Callithrix jacchus: one gene and its partners. The protein of the gene in region 3 purifies or fractionates together with the protein of the main gene of each other region. This does not show direct contact. Links are inferred from orthologs where the notes say so. Each region holds a gene or a part of one and is shown on either strand. Other genes may lie near its edges.

What was found.
Region 1: the proteins of CDK8 (region 3) and MED7 purify together in Homo sapiens (affinity purification with mass spectrometry; 7 studies listed by BioGRID and IntAct, counting the BioPlex papers as one, with this or other methods). This does not show direct contact. The link is inferred for Callithrix jacchus from reciprocal best matches to the Homo sapiens genes CDK8 and MED7.
Region 2: the proteins of CDK8 (region 3) and MED1 purify together in Homo sapiens (affinity purification with mass spectrometry; 14 studies listed by BioGRID and IntAct, counting the BioPlex papers as one, with this or other methods). This does not show direct contact. The link is inferred for Callithrix jacchus from reciprocal best matches to the Homo sapiens genes CDK8 and MED1.

What each region holds. Positions count from the first base shown.
Region 1 is NC_133503.1:19,918,403-19,922,150, forward strand, and holds the start of MED7 (mediator of RNA polymerase II transcription subunit 7), read right to left. Parts: upstream 2,419-3,748; 5' UTR 2,374-2,418; intron 1-2,373. Other genes in the region: GARIN3 (Golgi-associated RAB2 interactor protein 3), read right to left, coding at 2,634-3,748. UniProt on the Homo sapiens protein: Component of the Mediator complex, a coactivator involved in the regulated transcription of nearly all RNA polymerase II-dependent genes.
Region 2 is NC_133506.1:119,911,299-119,915,046, forward strand, and holds the start of MED1 (mediator of RNA polymerase II transcription subunit 1), read right to left. Parts: upstream 2,353-3,748; 5' UTR 2,150-2,352; coding exon 2,125-2,149; intron 1-2,124. UniProt on the Homo sapiens protein: Component of the Mediator complex, a coactivator involved in the regulated transcription of nearly all RNA polymerase II-dependent genes.
Region 3 is NC_133506.1:145,427,589-145,431,336, reverse strand, and holds the start of CDK8 (cyclin-dependent kinase 8), read right to left. Parts: upstream 2,519-3,748; 5' UTR 2,003-2,518; coding exon 1,875-2,002; intron 1-1,874.

The DNA of each region.
Region 1 (3,748 bases), on a different chromosome or scaffold from region 3:
ATAAAACAAGACTAGAAGGAAAACAAAAGATAAAGCCATGGTCTACACAATTATGAGATTAAGCCATTTGTAGCTAGGATAATTCAGACTCTGGCATAGCTGTAAGTCTGGAACTCCAGACCAAAGGCTTTGACAGGAGTTCCGCTTTATCTCTCTCCTCTACCCCACCTGCCAACCTGTCACACTCCTGTGTGGCTTTCCCAAAGGCCCTCTCAGACTTCTGAGTGTGTGCCTCTCTCTCTCCATCTAACTGTATCCACTGTTTCAAGAGTCGACTCCCAGAACATCTTAATCTCAGGTTCTATGGTCTTTATTGAAAGCCACAAGGTGAGATTTTCCAGCCGCCCACCAGAGCAACTGAGAAGGGATTCCCCTGATACTGACAGGCCACTACTCCTCCCAGAATACCTTGCTTCTCACCTCCTCCATCTGCACTACACATATTTGGTCTTCAGAGAAAGTCCCTAAGTTTTGCCAGAAACTCAACTTCTGTCCTCCAAGGTACTGCTGCAGAGAATGAGCAAAGACTCAAAAGGCTGAGCAGTTGCTCCCCTCCTGGACTTACATGAACACACATGGCTCCCAGAATCATTTTTCTCAAATTGAATTTTTATTATCTGATGTTAATACTGTAATGTTTTTCATGGATTCATTTTACAGGTTTTTTTTTTTTTAATGGAAAGACAATTTTTTTTACAATAAAACTTTTTAAAATTTACAATCCCGTTTCTAGGGATTAACTTCCACATGAACACATAATTTACATCATGTTAGTACACAGCATTTTGGACTATTTTATTTCTTAATACATTTAAACATTTTCCATGTTTCTATATTCTGAATATTTTTATGTTACTTAGAATTTTTGTTTCGTACCTATTGAAAGATGTCTTTCAGAGTTAGATTTTTTTTGTCATAAATCTCTCTTGTGTGGGTGTAAAAAGGAAAACATTGGTGAAATAAATTGGATAGGGCGTTTCTAAGGCAGTGACATACAATTGACACTTTGCTGGAAGTGATTTAAAAACAATCCTGATTTCAGAGATGTTAAAATAAAGACACAATAACAAACCTCCATGAATACACCCTCTTGTTTAAGAAATGGAATAATCATGATTCTGTTGAAGCTGTTTGTGTGTGCCTCCCAGATCAGACATCTCTCCCTTTACCCTTTCTCTTCTTTCCTTTTTTTATCCATATCCTGAATTTTGTGATTATCATTTCCTTGTTTTTCTCTATACTTTAAGCAAATATATATCCCATAGTTGAATCTTATTTTTGAACTGTTCTACAAATTGAACTATATCATATATATTTTTGTGACTTGCTTTTAGTATCCCATATTATGTGAGATTTATCCATGCTAGCTGGGCACAGTAGCTCATGCCTGTAATCCCAGCACTTTGGGAGGCCAAGGAGGGTGGACTGCTTGAGGTCAGGAATTTGAGACCAGCCTGGTCAACATGGCAAAACCCTGTCTCTACTAAAAATACACAAAATTAGTTGGGCATGGTGGCACATGCCTGTAATCCCAGCTACTTGGAAGCTGAGGCACTAGAATTGCTGGACCCTGGGTGGCCAAGATTACTGTGAATCAAGATCACCTCACTGCACTTCAGCCTGGGTGACAAACTGAGACTCTATCTCAAAAAAAAAAAACAAAAAAAATGTATCCTTTCTAATAGCCGCTATTCATTTACACTGTTGTAGATTATGCACTGTAGTTTATTTCATAGCTTATTAATTCTCCTGTTTGATGAACACTTGAGGATTTCCAGGGTTTTGCTATTACAATTTGTTTTACTATAAACATTCTCCTAGTTGTCTACTGGCAAGCATATGTGAGAATTTCTCCACTGTCTACACCTAGGAGGAAGACTTGTTAAGACTAGATCAAGAGTCAGCACATTTTCTGTGAAGGCCCAGATAATATTTTAGACTCTGCAGGCCATATGGTCTCCATTGCAACTACTCATATCTGTCATTTTAGCGTGAAAGCAGCCATAGACAATATGCAAAGGAATGGCTGTGGCTATGTTCCAGTAAAATTTTATTTACAAATCCAAGCAGCTGGCAAGATTTGGACCTCAGAATATGGTTTGCCAATTCCTGATCTAGATGCATAGATTTCCTATTCTAATTGCCTACAAATGCTGCTGCACTGCTCCTTCCTCCCCTGAATACCCTCTGAGGGGATGTGAATCCTGTCTCTGCCTAGTCTATGGACTGGACTGAATGTCCATGTTCAGGAGCATTCAGGGAAGAGAATGGGCATGGGGACGTGGTGGTGGTGCATCCAGCTCTTAATCTGTGACTTTGACAGTCTAGGGGAAGCAAAGGCAGAAAGGGGTTGAGGCAAAGCAAAACACTCACATTGGCTCTGCTGGGCCTGGGTGGGTGGTAGGGCTCTACCTGCCTGGAGGCTGGGGTCTCAGGCTGTAATGTGGTCACCATCACAGAAGCCACTGTGAAGTCACTGCCAGGCTATGGGGCAGAAAAAATTCAAACAGGAGATTTTATTTATTTAGGGGTTGTATGATTTCCTTTATTATTTAAACTGCAGTAAAGAAAGCTGGGATGGGCTCTCTAGGGATACTTCCCAGATCCCTGGGAGTTGTAGCCCTGGCTCCTATTTAAATGGATTTGGTTTCAAAGATGGTCATCTCCATCATCTTGGATGTCACAGTGCCACTGATCACCTCCAGCTCCTGGGCTTTCTCCACTTTGGCCTCTATGTTTTGCTTCTCCGCCATCTTAGCCACGATGTCTACCTCTCTGTCGTGTGATGTGACCCTTGTTTTTGAACCAGCAGTAGCCCTGAGGCTCCTTAAAAAAGACATGATTTTACTGGGTTTCTTACTTAAAGCTCCTGTACTAGATGTGGATCGGTTCTTCCCCAGTTTGTGAGTTGTTCTCGACTCCTTTTTGGTGGAACTGTGGCTGGAGCTCTTGCGAGAGGAGCCACGTCCCTTGCCCCTTACCTTGCTGCGCCCTTGTTCTTTTTTGTCATCTCTCGTGTTTTTATGGCCGGATATAGACCGGTGGGAGGATGCTTTCTGGGTCTCGTCTCCTGCTGTCCTGCGGTGACTTTCACCTGCCTTGCGGTGATGGGAACTTTTCCTACTGGGACGTTTGTCCTTCTTTTTTCTTCTTTCCTTTTTTTCATTCCAGGCTTCAGCACTGGGCTGGGAAAGCTTCTGGCTTCCATTCCGTTCACTCATGTAGCCTTCGCTTTGCAAGGTGGACACGAGGGGTCCCAATGCTGGTCCTTGAGTTCTTTCTGCCACACACTTGCCTGTCGTCATACTGCCTGCAAATGCCATACTCAAGCTGCTGTCTTGGGAGAGATGGGCGGCCCCCGCCATCGTGGTGGAAGAAGTACCTGCCAAGGAGGTGCTTGCAACACCCACCAAGGCCAAGTTCATACTATCTGAGGATATGTTGGCAGCACCTGCCATGGACTTGCTGGATTCATTTTCTCCCGGATTTTTGATGGCTGCTCCCGCCAGCGCTGTGGTCACCTGGCCTGGGCCTGCAGGTTTGCTTGCTGCTATGCTCACAGCGCCTGTTGCAGGACTCATTGCTGTGCCTGCTATTGCCACACCTGCTCTGGGGCCTGTTGTTCCTGCCATGCCACCTGCTGTCCTTGCTGCTGCTCCTTCAGCAGCCATTCCATGGGAGGCATGTTGGATTCCTTCTCCCCCAGCATAAGCAGAAGAGGTGACTGCAGATACATCACAAGACTTGT
Region 2 (3,748 bases), about 26 Mb from region 3:
AAAGTGCTGGGGAAGCCAGACATTGTGGCTCACACCTATAATCCTAGCTAGCACTTTGGGAGGCCAATGTGGAAGAATACTTGAGCTGGGGAGTTCAACTACAGCTGGGGCAACGTAACAAGATCCCACCACTTTAAAAGAAAAAAATAGCCAGGCTCTGCTAAGTGGCTCACGCCTGTAATCCTGGCACTTTGGAAGCCCCTTCTCTACTAAAAATATAAAATTATCAAGTGTGGTGGTGCATGCCTCTAATCCCAGCTACTTGGGAGGCTAAGAAGAATCACTTGAACCCAGGAGGCAGAGGTTGCAGGAAACTGAGATTACATCATTGCACTCCAGCCTGGGCAACAAGAGTGAAACTGTCTCAAAAAAAAAAAAAAAAAAGGACAGTCTTACTCAGTAGCTAAGGCTTGAGTGCACTACTGGCACAATCATAGCCTATTGCAGCCTCGATCTCCCAAGGTCCAGGATGAAGTGATCCTCCCAGCTCAGCCTTCAGAGTAGCTGGCACTATAGCTAATTTTCCTTTTTTTTTTGAGACAGGGTCTCACTCTGTCACCCAGGTTGGAGTGCAATAACATAATCCTGGCTCACCGGAGTCTTGACCTACAGGATTCAGGTAATCTGCCTACCGCAGCCTCCCAAGTAGCTAGACTACTGGCTTGTGTCACCACGCTCAGCTAATTTTTGTATCTGTTGTAGAAACAGGGTTTTGCCATGTTGTCCAGGCTGGTCTCCAACTCATGGGCTCAAGTGACCCTCCTGCTTCGGCCTCCCAAAATGCTGGGATTACAGGCTTGAACCACTGCCTGGCCCTAATTTTTTATTTATTTATTTATTTATTTATTTATTTTTGAAATGAAGTTTCACTTTCATTGCCCAGACTGAAGTGCAGTGGCAAAATCTTGACTCAATGCAACCTCCACCTCCTGGGTTTGAGTGATTTTCCTGCCTCAGCCTCTCAAGTAGCTGAGATTACAGACAAGCCACCATGACCAGCTAATATTGTATTTTTAGTAGAGATGGCGTTTCACCATATTGGCCAGGCTGGTCTTGAATTCCTGACCTCAGGTGATCCACCTGCCTTGGCCTCCCAAAGTGCTGGGATTACAGGCCCTCACGCCCAGCCAATTTTTTTATGTTTTTGTAGAGAGAGGGTCTCACTATGTTGCCCAGGCTGGTCTCTAACTTCTGGGCTCAAGGGATCCTCCAGCCTCAGCCTCCTAAAGTTCTGGGATTACAGATGTGAGTCACTGCACCCGGCCCCACCTTTTGACCTCTCCTCCAAAACATACTTCTTGTTGTCCTTGAGAAACCTGCTGATAGGTAACTTTACTTCAATGCTCAGACATTTTTTGAGCGACTATTTACGTCAACGCTTATTTTTTGAGCAACTATTACGTGCCAGAAACTATACAAAAATTAATCAGGCAAGGTCCCTAATCTGCAAAGCTCAGAGTAAATTGAAAAAGATAAACAAACAATAATACAGCTCACTGTATCAACAGAACTATGCCCAAAATGCTAAGGAAGCATCTATACTGGAGTGTGGAACTTTAGAGAATCTTAGTAAAGTTCCACAGAAAAGTTTGTTTTTCTGCAGTTCTTAGTTCAGTCAATAAAAGAAAGGGAAAAAAAAATGAAATTCAGTGCAGTTTAAAAACACACAATAGCACGGGATCTGAACACTTGACATTGTAGGGAACTGCTGGCTGCTAATAAATATAAGGACCTAATCATTTCATTTATGCCAAAATATCCTCCAGTACGTTTACCCACAGCCCTGTATTTACTCAGACGTCTCTTCTGGAACGAGATGTAAGCTGGTTTTGTATTCACTGGCCCGGTCTCCCACCACTTTAAGCCAAAAGTGCCCTGAGGCCCAACCGACTGTCCCTAGTCGATCAGGAAATCTTCACAGAAGTTGAGAGTCCCCATCACCCCAAAGTCGGAGCTCTATATTCACCAAGGAAGGTATAGTGAGAATCTAAAACTCATAAACATTCCCTCTCCTGGACTCTATGCCCGTAAAGTGGCCCCTATCGGACATTGGCAGGAACCTCCTCTCACAAACCGGCTCCCCAAATTGTGTCCCGCCCCCTCCTTTCCCCCTCGGTCACTTACCCTCGGTTTCCCCCTGAGCTTTCATCCTGAAGGCGGGGAGAGCCTGGATCTGCCACAAAGGGATAAGCCCTTCCCCGCCACTAACGGGGAAAACAAGTTGGCCCGGGATCCCGAGACGCAGGGCACCAGCAGTCCCTACTCTTCCCGGGAAGGATCAGTCTGAAGTCCCCGGCGACAAGAAGAGAAGGGTGCTCGAGGCCGCCGCCATCTTCCCCAACGGAACTTCCCAAAATTCGCGAGATAAACCGTGGTCCTGCCAGAGGGAGGAAGAGGACAGGGCATCGAAATCTCGCGAATATTGGTCAATGCGTGGGCCTCGCGAGATTTCTTTCAAGCTAGTCCTGTCTTTGCTCTGGGCTGTCTCAGGCCTGACGCTGCTGGTTGTTAAAACTGCGGGCCAGTAACTTACAGCTCCCCTGCGGAAACCAGCATTTTCTTTTTTAATTTGAGCAGTTAAACAACTCGCAAATTAAAATCTCCAGATCTCTCTACTGAAAGACTATCTTTTCAAAGGCTATTGGTATCAGGAATGTATGTTTTCCGTGAGATACTAGATGCAATAATTATGTCCTAAGAAAGCTAGTGGCGCATTGTAACATGACATTCAAAGACAGCCTAGCACAATTAATTCCCCTTTCTTTCCTTCTTTTTTTTTTTTTTTTTTTGAGACGGAATCTCGCTGTGTTGCTAGAATGGAGTCCAGTGGTGCGATCTCGACTCACTGCAATCTCCCTCTGCCTCCTGGATTCAAGCGCTTATCCTCCCTAAGCTTCCCGAGTAGCTAGGATTATAGGTGTGTGCCACCACACCAAGCTGATTTTTGTGTTTTTAGTGGAGACGGAGTTTCACTATATTGGCCTCTATCTTCTGACCTCGTGATCCGCCCGCCTTGGCCTCCCAAAGTGCTGGAATTACAGGCGTGAGCCACCGCGCCGGCTTCTTTTCTCATTTTTTTAGTTTCAAAACTTTCTTTCTCTTTCTTTCCTTCTTTCTTTCTCCTTCCTTCCTTCCTTTTCCTTCCTTCCTTCCTTTTCCTTCCTTCCTTCCTTCCTTCCTTCCTTCCTTCCTTCCTTCCTTCCTTCCTTCCTTCCTTCCTTCCTTCCTTCCTTTCTTTCTGACAGAGTTTCACTCTTGTTACCCAGGCTGGAATGCAATGGCGCGATCTCGGCTCACCGCAACCTCCATCTCCTCGGTTCAAGCCATTCTCCTGCCTCAGCCTCCCGAGTAGCTGGGACTACAGGCGCAGGCGCCATGCCCAGCTAATTTTTGTATTTTTAGTAGAGACGGGGTTTCACCACGTTGACCAGGATGGTCTCGATCTCTTGACCTTGTGATCCACCAGCCTTGGCCTCCCAAAGTGCTGGGATTATAGGCGTGAGCCACCGCGACGGCCTCTCTCCTTCCTTCCTTCCTTCCTTCCTTCCTTCCTTCCTTCCTTCCTTCCTTCCTTCCTTCCTTTCTTCTTTCTTTCTTTTTCCTTCCTTCCTTCCTTCTTTCTTTCTTTTTTGAGATGAAGTGTCGCTCTCTCACCCAGGCTGGAGTGCAGTGGCAGAACCTCGGCTCACTGCAACCTCCGCCTCCTGGGTTCAAGCGATTGTCCTGCCTCAACCTCCAGAGTAGCTGG
Region 3 (3,748 bases):
GAGATGGTTTAAAGGTTTTGAAAAATATTGTATAATAAGTTAACAAACATAATTTAAAAAACATATGTCATCACAGAGTAAAACTTCAACGATAAGTCTAATTAGACAACGAGTCAGCAGTATCTCCAGACGCTGATTTCTCCAATGTCACCAGACAATCCATCCGGCTAAAAAGTACTTTTAACGGTGGCTCAAGCCTGTAATCCCAGCACTTTGGGAGGCCGAGGCGGGTGGATCACGAGGTCAGGAGATCGAGACCATCCTGGTCAAAATGGTGAAACCTCGTCTCCACTAAAGATACAGAAAATTAGCTGGGCATGGTGGCGCGTGCCTGTAATCCCGGCTACTCGGGAGGCTGAGGCAGGAGAATTGCCTGAACCCAGGAGGCGGAGGTTGCGGTGAGCCGGGATCCCGCCATTGCACTCCAGCCTGGGTAACAAGAGCGAAACTCCGTCTCAAAAAAAAAAAGTACCTTTAAACACGTGCGGCGCCCAGAGTATCAAGTTTTCACATCTAAATCCCTACCTTCTGCCGATCTGTACCACTTTACTGTTGCATAAAAGCACCACAATACACATTCCAAATTAATCAGAACTCCTACCTTCCTCGTAGAGTCCATTTTAAATACTTTTAGAAAGATATCTCAGTAAATCTAAGAAAAATGTTGAATAAATACCCACTTTCTTTTTCCACATCCAGAATACTGAAGTATTTATAAATATGCGCCCCCCTCCCCCACATCAGGGAACTTCAGCTTTATGAATGGTTTGGGTTTTTTCAGTGCTGATGTAGTCTGAACATACTCTCCTACCTAATGTGAAATTTTAAGTGATTAGTTTAAACATCATATAGCAGGTAACTAAACTGGGATGTTCAAGTAATGCTACTTTGTATCTAATAAAATCCAAAAATTATACAATAAGCTTTGACTTTTCAATAATTTTCTATTCTGTCAAAGGCAAGAGACAACACCCATTTTACAAGAAAACCTGGAGTTAATAAAATATATTTTCCCCCCAACTAAGAATTGCCTTCTCTTTCGTCAATATTACAAGACATTCATCTACTGACAAAGAGAAAAAATGAACACTTCACTTGCCTGTTAAGAAACTAAATTGGAAGCATTACCAGTCATACATTTAATTAAGTTGTTACTAGGGAAGAATATTTAAAGCAAAGGGATTATTTAAAGTTCACTGCCAACCGCTAAATTTGGGGAAAACAGCCTGAATGAGATAGTACCTATGTCACTTGCCTTCTTCCCCACCACCCACCCTGCACCAAACCCCCATTGTTCTATGTAAAAATTCACAGCTAATAATATCTAAATAGCAATTGCAACATTCATGTTGCAGATGATCACTATGGGGAACTCTCTTCAGAACCACATTACTCGCTGCCTTCCTTCCCTCAAATAAAACCCAAATTTGATTAAAAATCGATCACAAACTGGTGGGGGAAAGGATCACAGCCTTCCTTCTAGACCGATGGATGACACTCCAGAGGCGGGTGAGGAAATCCCCAGATTACCATAATAAATCCACCAAAGGAAGAAAATCATTTAACCCGGCGTTTTAGAACGAATTTTTTCATAAATCAGCTTTGAAATCCTTGAAAAGTATACAGCCCATGGTGCAGAGGCTCCTCTTCCCTCTTACCACCAAAGCACAACACAGATGCGGCACGCAGGATTTCTTGTGGGTTTGGATCCCTCGTACACCACTTCCTCCCCAGACCCGGCTGGCGGAGCCAGATGCCGGCGTCGAGGAAGTCAGAACCCGGCACCCCAGCGGCCCGCTCTCCCTCCGGGCTACCTGCCTCCGCCTGCGGGAGCGCCGCCCGGCGCGGACACCGGCCCAGACACACACACTCACCCATCTTTCCTCTTGGCTTTGTAGACGTGACCGTAAGTGCCTCGGCCAACTTTGCAGCCCTCGTATTCAAACAGGTCCTCGACCCGCTCCCGCTCGCTGCTCAGCTTCACTTTAAAGTCATAGTCCATTGTCACAGCCTCCGAGGCCGGAGAGCTGGGTCGGGGGGTCGGGGGGGCAGGGGTGGGGACCGGGGAAGCACTGGCAGCCGCAGTCCCCGGGAACCCGCCCGCTCTACGCCCGCCGGCCGCAGCACCAGCCTGACTGATGCGGCAAGAGCAGGAGGAGGCCCCGCGAAAGCGCCGGGGACATCCAGGGGGACGGCGGGGCAGAGGCCGGCTGGGGGTGGAGGAACGGGGAGGATCCCCCGGCGAAGGAGAGTCGAGGGACGAGGGCTGGGGGTGGGGAGCGGTGTCTCTGCCCTTGTCCCCGCGGGCTCCCTGGGCGCCGGCTCCGCCGCTCTCTCCAGTCGTGCGTTCTGCTCCTGCTGCGGCGGGAGCGGCGGGGCGGCCAGGCGGGCTCTCGTCCTCTCACACGCGCACTCACGCCTCACGCTCTCTCACACACACGCTCACACTCACTCACTCACTCACTCTCCCATACACTCAAACAGAAAGGCAGCGCCGCACAACAGCCGGTACCTCCTCAAAGAGAGGAGGAGGGAGGGCACTCGCGGAACACGGCCGCGGCTGTCGCAAAAACGTCGCGAAGCCTCGGCTGCCTCCGGGCCACCCCCCAGCCCGCTCCCGCGGTGGCTCTCCACCCCTGCAGGCGCCGGCACCCTGAGGACCGTGTGGAGGAAGCGGGGGAGCCAGTGCCCAAAGCTGCCGCCAAACGCACCACGTGGGACCAGCCCCAGCAGTGGCCGGGCCCCAGACTACAATACCCAGAATCCACAGGCCGCTGCCGCTGCTGCCCCTACTACGACTCCGCCCCACACGGTGGGAATGTGGGAGCGTTGCATGACGGGACTCGTAGTCTAGGGTGGGATTTCATTTCAATCTCTTGGGGGAAATTTCTATTTCTATTTATTTTTATTTTTACAGATATCTTACTACAGTCTGATTTCAGCCATAAACTTAACCAAAGACATGCACCTGGGAAGGAGGGTAGTTTGCATTAGAAACACATTTTTTGTGCCACTCTGAACTCCATATTTTAAAGGGCACTATCATCATCTATAAAAGCTAATATATTTGTAAACAGCTTGCGGGCCAGCGTTAGGGTACTCTTGGTGTTCACAATCTGATAAGGGCTGCACAGTGATGTCAACATACTGACATTACAAACACCAATAAAAGTGAATCAATGACTAGTGTCCAAGCTACTCCTAAACATTGTTATTCTGGTGACAGATGACCATCCAAACCTTTCCCATCCATTTACAGGATGCACTGAGTACAGTACAGCTTTCTACGATACTGCCTATAAGAACACCAGTTCCTAGCTATGATTACAGAAAGGATCTAAAACCATGGGGAAACTAGTTTGTTAATAATTTTAAGGTAGCAATATGTCTGCTTCAGGAGTCCTGGTATCTTGTTACTAATCTATCATTTTATCTTATCCCTTTTATTGTCTGTTTTTTGGTTTCCAATTGTTACCATTTCCACTAAAGCTCCCCACTTCCCAAAGAGAATATGAACTTTGCACTTTATTTTTGTTGTTTGTTTGAGACAGAGTCTCGCTCCGTCACCCAGGCTGGAGTGCAGTGGCAGCATCTCAGCTCAGGTTCAAGCGATTCTCCTGCGTCAGCCTCCCGAGTGGCTGGGATTATAGGCACGCGTCACCACACCTAGCTAACTTTTTGAATTTTTAGTAGAGACTGGGTTTCACTGTGTTAGTCAGAATGGTCTTGATCTCCAGACCTCGTGATC